2 linked regions of the Macaca mulatta genome follow. The protein of the gene in region 1 purifies or fractionates together with the protein of each later gene. This does not show direct contact. Links are inferred from orthologs where the notes say so. Each region holds a gene or a part of one and is shown in the gene's direction. Other genes may lie near its edges. The genes, in order: FAM83D and CSNK1A1.

Region 1 (4,465 bases):
GTGAGGGTTTTAGCCTGATTGAAGAGGGCTGGAAAGGAACTGGAGACAGCAGGTATAGACAACTGGTTTGAGGGTTTCTTTTTCTTTTCTTTTCTTTTTTTTTTTGAGACAGGGTCTTACTCTGTCACCCAGGCTGGAGTGCAGTGGTGTGATCATAATTCACTACAGCCTCAAACTCCTGGGCTTAACTGATCCCTTGCCTCAGCCTTCCCAGTGGCTGGGACCAACAGGAGCACTGCCATGCACTAAGAGTTAGGCGCACCACCATGCCCAGCTGACTTTTGTATTTTTTTGTAGAGACAGGATCTCACTATGTTGCCCAGGCTGGTCTCAAACTCCTGGGCTCAAGTGATCCTCTTCCCTTGGCCTCCCACAGTGCTGGGATTACAGGTGCAAGTCACCATGGCCAGCCACATCTGAGATTTTATGCTGCAAAAGTAAGAAGAGAGATGGGGAGCTTTAGAGGAATGTAGAGTCAAAAGAGGGTTGTTTTAAGACGAAAAATATTTCAGCATGCGTGTAGGTTGATAGAAATGAATCAGTAAAGAGGGAAGCTGATGTTCCAGGAGAAAGAAGAAGGTTGCTGGAGTGATGCTGGTGAGTAGTAGAGGGGCTGGAAGTGCCCAGGCAGAGGGGTTGGGGTTGGATGGGCACAGGCGCAGTTCATCAATGCCCAGTATATGGGCAGCGATGGAGACAGGAAGGTAGACTAGATGGGCGCACGTGGACGTTCCCTTCTCACTGCTTCTGTGTTCTCGGTGACATAGGAGGCAAGCTGTCAGAGAGGAAAAGGTAGAGAGAATGAGGGAAATGTGGCCTACCAGGCAGTTTTTTTGTTTTGTTTTGTTTTGTTTTGTTTTTGATGGAGTTTCGCTCTTGTCGCCCAGGCTGGAGTGCAGTGGTGTGATCTGGACTCACTGCAACCTCCTCTCCCCGCATTCAAGTGATTCTCCTGCCTCAGCCTCCCGAGCATCTGGGATTACAGGCGTACATCAAGATGCCCGGCTAATTTTCGTATTTTTAGTAGAGACGGGGTTTCACCGTGTTGGTCAGGCTGGTCTCAAACTCCTGACTTCAGGTGATCCGCCCTCCTAGGCCTCCTAAAATGCTGGGACTACAGGCGTGAGCCACTGCGCGCCCGGCCTCCTAGCAGGTAGTCTTACAGATTATGAATGTAAAACATGACCAGTCAGTAAGCATGGTTATGCTCTTTTTGTTTTTTTCTCCAGCCCTGTAGGGCTGCCGGGGTGCAGGTGCAAAGTAGGATACAACCAGGGTTGGTTGGAGTTTTACAAGGCAAAAACTGATGAAATGAGAGAAGACTACCCGAGGGTGTAAGCAAAGGAGCGGTCCTAATATGATGAGCCGGTATTTTTTTAATGAATGAATACGTGGTTAAAGGCAGGGGATAAAGACGATATGTTTGGCCATACCAAAGCTCTGAGAGCCTAGGAGCAGCGTGGCCAACGTGTCTGGGAGCCGGCACCTGCCTCTCCTCACTGCCTAGGCCTGACTGTCCCTGGCCTTGTAGGGCCGCACTGGGGGGCGGCCGGCAGGGGGCGCCCTGGGATGGCCAGGAGCCCGGCTCTCCCCGCTCTGTCCCTGCTCTGCGGCCCGCCTCGCCCCTGCAAGTTTAAATTCGGCTTAGCAACCCCAGCATCGCAGCCAATAACGCATGAGGGGGCGGAACCGTAGAGGCTTGCGCCCCGCCTCGCTCCGCTATTGGAAGGAATGCAGCCAATGGGAGAGTCGAGGCGGGGAGGTGCGGCCAATGGCGCGGGCCTGTTTGATTCAAAGGTTGCCTATAAAGTGGGCCTGCAGGCTGGTTCTTGTCCGAGGGCTGTCGCGTCCGAGTGCCGCTATGGCTCTGCTGTGCGAGGGCCTGGACGAACTGCCGGCTGCCTGCCTGTCTCCGTGCGGGCCGCCCAACCCGGCCGAGCTGTTCAGCGAGTCACGGCGCCTGGCTCTGGAGGAGCTGGTGGCCGGCGGCCCCGAAGCCTTCGCGGCCTTCCTGCGACGCGAGCGCCTGGCTCGCTTCCTGAACCCCGATGAGGTGCACGCCATCCTGCGCGCGGCGGAGAGGCCAGGAGAGGAGGGCGCGGCGGCGGCGGCCGAGGACTCGTTCGGCTCCTCGCATGACTGCTCGTCTGGCACCTACTTCCCCGAGCAGTCGGACCTGGAGCCGCCGCTGCTGGAGCTCGGCTGGCCCGCCTTCTACCAGGGCGCCTACCGCGGCGCCACGCGCGTCGAGGCCCACTTCCAGCCCCGCGGCACGGGCGAGGGCGGCCCCTACGGCTGCAAGGACGCTCTGCGCCAGCAGCTCCGCTCGGCGCGAGAGGTGAGCGGCCCTCCCGGGCTCTGGGTCGCACGGGAGACCCCCTTCAAGAATGGGAAATTGAGGCCTGCGGGGAGCACAGGCCGGGGCGACTACCTCCTCAGCTCCCTACCGGAAGCGCGGGCCACGGGGTCCCGGGGTCCCCGACTCACACCCCACTCTGCGTGTCTTCCCCGGATCCCCCGGGCCGCTCCTGGTGGCAGGGGATAGTGGGGAAGCCTCGGTTCCCAAGGATAAGAATTGTGTCCGGGTTCCATCTCCTAACGTTCATATCCCTGAAGGAGGGACCAGAAGTACTCCCAGCTCCAAATTTCAGTTGAAATCAAACTTGGAAAATTGCCGATTTCCCTGGCTGTCAGCCAACGCTACATCCCACTTTCAGGAGCTTCTTAGGAGACTCATTACCAAAGAACTTACCTAGGGAAAGTTCCAGGAAGGTGGTCTCCAGAGACAACTACGGGGCATTAGGAATCAATTATTATTGCTAATTACTTTCACGCATCTTATGTTGTAAAAAGCAGATAAACACAAGTGGCAAAGTGAGACCCCTGCCGCTTTTTCTTTCTTGTCTTTTTTTTTTTTTTTTCTTTGAGACAGAGTCTCACTCTTTTGCCCAGGCTGGAGTGAAGTGGTGGGAACTCAGTTCACCGCAACCTCCGTCCCCGGGTTCAAGTGATTCTCCTGCCTCAGCCTCCCAAGTAGCTCGGATTACAGGCGCCTGCCACCACTCCCGGCTAGTTTTTGTATTTTTAGTAGAGACAGGGTTTCGCCATGTTGGCCAAGCTGGTCTCGAACTCCTGACCTCAGGTGATCCACCCTCCTCGGCCTCCCAAAGTGCTAGGATTAAGGCGTGAGCCACTGCGCCCGGCCCCCTGCCGCTTTTTCTACTGCCAGAGACTGGAGGGGAAATTTGCCGTTGTGAATGAAAGGGGCAAGGAGTTTTCCATAGGCTGGGTCTGTGCCAGATTGCAGTGGTCTCCTAAAATGCAGATACATTTGCATTAGATCGGCTTCTGTTTTGGTCCTACTGTCTGACTCAGTATGGCATGGTCATGGGCGCAGTGGAGGTCTTGTCTGCTTGCCAGCCTCAATGAAGCTGCAGCAGGGTGTTGGGGATCAAGGAGGAAGAAGGCAGCCTGCATGTGGGTGTGGCAGAACAGTATGGTGGCAGACACCTTGGTCTGGAACCATGGTCAGGTTGCTTGCTGACTGGCAGTGCCCGGCTTCCTGGCTGTCTGCCTGTGCCAGGGACATGGCAGATAAAGCCCCAGCCATGGTAAGACTTGCGAGGGCTGGTACATGAGTGTGTCTGACTGTGGGTGAAGATACCAGTGCATTGTCAGGTTGACATGTCCAAGTCCAAGCCCCAATTCTCACCAATGTTCTTAATATTCTTTCCCTGAATGGTGGGGTTGCAGTGGTAGTGGATACAGTGACCTAGTGCCTTGCTTTTGAGGGAGTGGTTGTGGGCTGCAGCTAGGCTTTTACCAGCCCTGAGGTGCTTTAGGTGGGCTGAGGGTTTTTTGATGCAGTAGACATTTTCCTTGCGGGTTCAGTGAGAAGATTAAAAAGATGGAAAAGGCAGACTTGTGTAGGTATGCGTTCCCAAAGCTCACCTCCAGTAGAACTTGAGCACTTGGAACCTGAAAAATGTAAAGAACTGGTCTATATAGTGAGAGCTGTGGATTGTTCTAGTCTTTTGCCCATCTCAAAATTTTAGTGATAGCAAAGGGGCACTGGAACCAGAGGCCAGAGGGAAATTAAACTCACGTGCTGGCCTGAGGAGGGGATGGAGCCGGGAGCTCAGACTCTCCCTCATCCCATGGGCGTTTTGTAATACTGACATTTCCAGATAGAACCTGCTGCCCTAGTCTAGCTACCCACAGTTCCCTCTGAGATGCTATATTTGGAACGTGGGCAGTTTAAACTGAGAAAGTTACCTTTAAATCCGATGAGTATTGGCTGGATACGGTGGTCAAGCCTGTAATCCCAGCACTTGGGGAGGCTGAGGTGGACGGATCACGAGGTCAGCAGTTCGAGACCAGTCTGGCCAACATGGTGAAACCCCATCTCTACTAAAAATACAAAAATTAGCAGGGCGTGGTGGCACGCACCTATAATCCTAGTTAC
Region 2 (4,488 bases), on another chromosome or scaffold:
CAGTTATCTTCCGAGATGAACCCTATTACTAACCTTAATTACTTGATCACCTTTCAAAGGTGCAGTTAAAATTCTTCACATTTTTCTCTCATTTCTATTTAATTAATTATTTTTTTGAGAGAGGGTCTCTCTGTTGCCCAGGCTGGAGTGCAGTAGCGTGATCTAGTCTCACCGCAACCTCCGCTTCCGAGTAGCTGGGGTTACAAGTGTACGTCATCACACCCAGCTAATTTTTGTATTTTTAGTAGATACGGGGTTTCGCCATGTTGGCCAGGCTGGTCTCGAACAACTGACCTCAAGTCATCTGCCCGCCCCGGCCTCCCAAAGTGGTGGGATTACAGGCGTGAGCCACTGCGCCCGGCCCTCATTTCTATTTTAATTAAATTTTATTTAGGATAGGCTTAGCTTAAATGTTTACGACTGAGGTCTGACTTAAGATGATAGCATAAACCATGGAGCTTTCTTTTGTGAACATTACTATTACTCAACCCAATTTTCCCAGGTCAAATTTTGTAATACAAAATGTGGTCAAGATTTGATTCTCTGATCGATTTTTAGTAAAAAAGAAAAAAATTTCCGTGTAGCTTTAAATGTTGTCAATTAAATTTTGTAATAGTTACCTCTACTCTGTTCAGGTTAATACTGCGGTTTTCAACATGACCAACATACGATTCTTTGTTGTTGTTTTGGTGGGGTTGGGGGGCATAACAGTTTTTTCACTCTTGTTAAATTAATTTTCTGTTGATTCCATCTATCCCTAATCTTCACTATGAACAAGATACTGGGTTTTCTTCTGAAGATCAAAAGTGGTAGTGAGGCAATAATGCAAAGACGTAGGACGGCAGGGGGATTCCGGCTTCTTTCTTTTTTCCCCTCCTGTGGAAAGAGGGTCTATAACACTCCGTAGTAGAGAAGAAAATTCTAATTATGAAGGGTAATTAGCTAGGTTTTGCTATAACCGAGAGCCCTGAACGATTCCTCAACGCGGGCTGCTTTTCTCTTCCTCTCCACCAGAGGCGATAGCCTCTTTCCAAACAGAAACTGGGTTGGAATAGGCCGGTCCTGGGGAGCGGCCAGAAGAAAGATCAAAGGTTAAAAACCGCCTCAAAGAGCAAAGGTCAATACCCAACTCCTAAGGAGGCCTGACACGAAACATGAAGGTGACTCCTCCCAACATCGAGGCCTGGGGCCACTCAGCCTTCCAGAGACCCTGCGGGTCCGAGGCGAGTAACAGGTAACACCAGCTGAGCCGCCGCCGACCGGAAGTGGAAGAAAGCCCGGGGCGGGGTGAGGCAGGCCGCGGCACGCCTGCGCAGTCAGCAGGAGTTGCAGCGCTCATGCGCTACTGGGCGGTGACAGGGTGACGCTCGGAGCGTGGGCCGCGACTCTCACGGATCCGGTTCCGCCCTCTCGCTGCCGATCCTTCGGAGCGAGCGCCCCAGATCCCTTTCCCAGAGTGCTCTGCGCCGTGAAGAAGCGGCTCCCGGGGACTGGGGGCATTTTGTGTTGGCTGGAGCTGGAGTAACAAGATGGCGGCGTCGGCGGAGTGACAGGGGTCCCTCAGGGCCGGAGCCGGCGGCAGTGGTGGTAGCTGTATCGCCGCCCTAGCTCACCGCGCCCCTTTTCCAGCCCGCGACGTCGCCGCGCAAGCGAGGCAGCGGCGGCCGCCGAGAAACAAGTGGCCCAGCCTGGTAACCGCGAGAAGCCCTTCACAAACTGCGGCCTGGCAAAAAGAAACCTGACCGAGCGGCGGTGATCAGGTTCCGCTCGGCTGATTCTGGGCCCCGAACGCCGGTAAAGGCCTCCGTGTTCTGTTTCCTGCCGCCTTCCTCCGTAGCCTTGCCCAGTGTAGGAGCCCCAGAGGCCTCCGTCGTCTTCCCAGAGGTGTCGGGGCTTGGCCCCAGACTCCATCTTCGTCTCTCAGGATGGCGAGTAGCAGCGGCTCTAAGGCCGAATTCATTGTCGGAGGGAAATATAAACTGGTACGGAAGATCGGGTCTGGCTCCTTCGGGGACATCTATCTGGCGATCAACATCACCAACGGCGAGGTAATCACCTGGGGTGGGGTTCACGATAACGCTGCGCTTTTCCTCATTCCCCCCACCACCACCGCGCACCCCCAAAGTGCTCGGGCCTTTCCTCACCGCACGCACTCGCCAGGGAGTCCAGGGAGCTAGTTTTCCTGGCTTGCGATCCTCGCCCGCTCTCTCCCTAAAAGGGTCAAGAACCCGATAGAAAGGTTGGGGGAACTAGTTTCCCAGCTTGTTAAACACGTCCCATAAATGTCCCTTCGTCGAGCTGTTTTTTTTTTAACCGACTTTTAAGGTGGAAACGGCAAAATCCTCTTTCTGTGATTCCCATGCTTTGCTTTGCTTTTCTTTTATTTAATTTTTAATCCTACTGGGCCTCTTGTTCCAATTAGAACAGTTTCCGATTGCCTAGTTCCTTAAAAACCTCTCACTACGTTCAGAGGTTGCTTCTTTTTTCTGGATGAATCATTTTCCTGCACTTTAGAGGACGTACGATTTCGTCACTACCCCCTGAAGAGGCCTTTGAGGCTGGTTGCCTCGTTTTATAATTACAGAGAGCTTTCTCTTTCCAGCTTTTCACTTCTTCCTTGTAGTCGCGACTTGGAGTTTTGCTAATGTCTCTCTCCTTTCCTAAATGACACTGAATCCGTAGGGATGTTGATGCCATCATCCCCTCTTTCCCCTGCAGGAAGTGGCAGTGAAGCTAGAATCTCAGAAGGCCAGGCATCCCCAGTTGCTGTACGAGAGCAAGCTCTATAAGATTCTTCAAGGTGGGGTTGGCATCCCCCACATACGGTAAGAACCCCGTGCATGTAGGCGATCCGCTGAGGGAAGCACGGAATGGGGAAGTGGGTAGAGGCAGGTAATGAGACCAGCTGAATCCGGGTCTTGTTTTAGTTACCTGGGTTCCTTGTAGCTGGTGCCTTCCTGTAAGTCATCGCAATCACTGAGTAAATTTCAATTTGCCAACTTATTTCATTGTATTACACTGCTCCATTTCGCTTCCGTCATTCTCTTCCCGAGGCTTTCGTTTGCAGTTAGGCGTGCGGGTCATCTTTGATCCCTACGCGGAAGGGTTGGCTGCTGCCTTTTTTACGGCGGCACGTCTGATGTTCTTAGGTTTGTCCAGTGAAGTGGATTTGAAGGTGCTGAAGCGACCCGGCAGTGTCAGTTCGAGTTGCTATTGGAGCTGGCTTGGGAAATGGCTGCTCTTTTGTTGTGTTTTTGTTCCAACATGTCTTCCTCCTCCGCTTAGAAAATGGCGGAACGACGTGACTCAACCCCATATTCCTGCCCTTTTCTCAGCTTGGGTTCACAAATTATGCTTCCTTGATTCCTCCTTTAGCAGCCCCGAGTGGATTAAACCTTTGAAAAGCCAAGAATAAAGCTGCAGGAGGCGGTGTGGGGGTTCGAGGAAGGAGATGGCATAGTGACAATGTTTGTGATCTCTGCAGCAGATGTGACATGAAATTGTTGAATTATACTATGTAAAATCCTTTGTGGTTCTTTTAAAAGTGTTAATTACGCTTTCCTTTCGTGAATGGTCATATTTGGCACATTTCAGTCGGGACTAAATTTGTATAGGTAATGGCAAAGGCAGTTTGAGCAGCACCAACTATGTTAAAATTTACTCAAATCAATTGTATTAAAAGAAATCTTAATCACTTAGCCACACTTTGATAAGTAATTTTAACCTGTTGAGTTTGGCAGTAAATCTTAATATCAGAGAAATTGCGGCCTTTGTTGGTGTGGAATATTGGTGAGTGCAAATTGCAGTAACGAGGATAAAAGATGACGAGATAGAAAGACATTGTTCTGTCAAATGGTTAACTTTACTTTGGAGGGTTTTAGAGTAATGTTTTAACTTTTGGGATTAAAGAGCCTCTTCATGGAATGGAGACTAAAATATAGTTTAAAACCAAGCTATTTTTCAGCAACAATCTAAAATACCTTTTGCAAAAATATTCAGAATAGGTGAGAATGGTGTTTACTGTTTGCTGGAGACTCTTTTTTTTTTTTTTGAGACTGAGTTTTCGCTCTTGTCGATCAGGCTGGAGTGCAGTGAATGGCACGATCTTGGCTCACTGCAACCTCTGCCTCCTGGGTTCAAGCGATTCTAGTGCCTCAGCCTCCTGAGTAGCTGGGATTACAGGCGCCCGCCACCACACCCAGCTAATTTTTGTATTTTAGTTTCACCATGTTGGCCAGGCTGTACTCGAACCCCTGACCTCAGGTGATCCACCTGCCTCGGCCTCCCAAAGTGCTGGGATTACAGGCATGAGCAACCGTGCCCAGGTTTTTTTCTTTTGAAACGAAGTCTTACTCTGTTGCCCAGGCTGGAGTGCAGTGGTGCAACCTTGGCTAACTGCAGCCTCTGCCTCCCAGGTTCAAGTGATCCTCCTGCTTCAGCCTCCCAAGTAGCTGGAATTACAGGCTTGCACTACTATGCCAGGTTAAT

The links.
Region 2: the proteins of FAM83D (region 1) and CSNK1A1 purify together in Homo sapiens (affinity purification with mass spectrometry; 8 studies listed by BioGRID and IntAct, counting the BioPlex papers as one, with this or other methods). This does not show direct contact. The link is inferred for Macaca mulatta from reciprocal best matches to the Homo sapiens genes FAM83D and CSNK1A1.

What each region holds. Positions count from the first base shown.
Region 1 is NC_133415.1:91,796,627-91,801,091, forward strand, and holds the start of FAM83D (protein FAM83D), read left to right. Parts: upstream 1-1,635; 5' UTR 1,636-1,675; coding exon 1,676-2,338; intron 2,339-4,465.
Region 2 is NC_133411.1:158,512,536-158,517,023, reverse strand, and holds the start of CSNK1A1 (casein kinase I), read left to right. Parts: upstream 1-1,438; 5' UTR 1,439-1,925; coding exon 1,926-2,048; intron 2,049-2,718; coding exon 2,719-2,825; intron 2,826-4,488.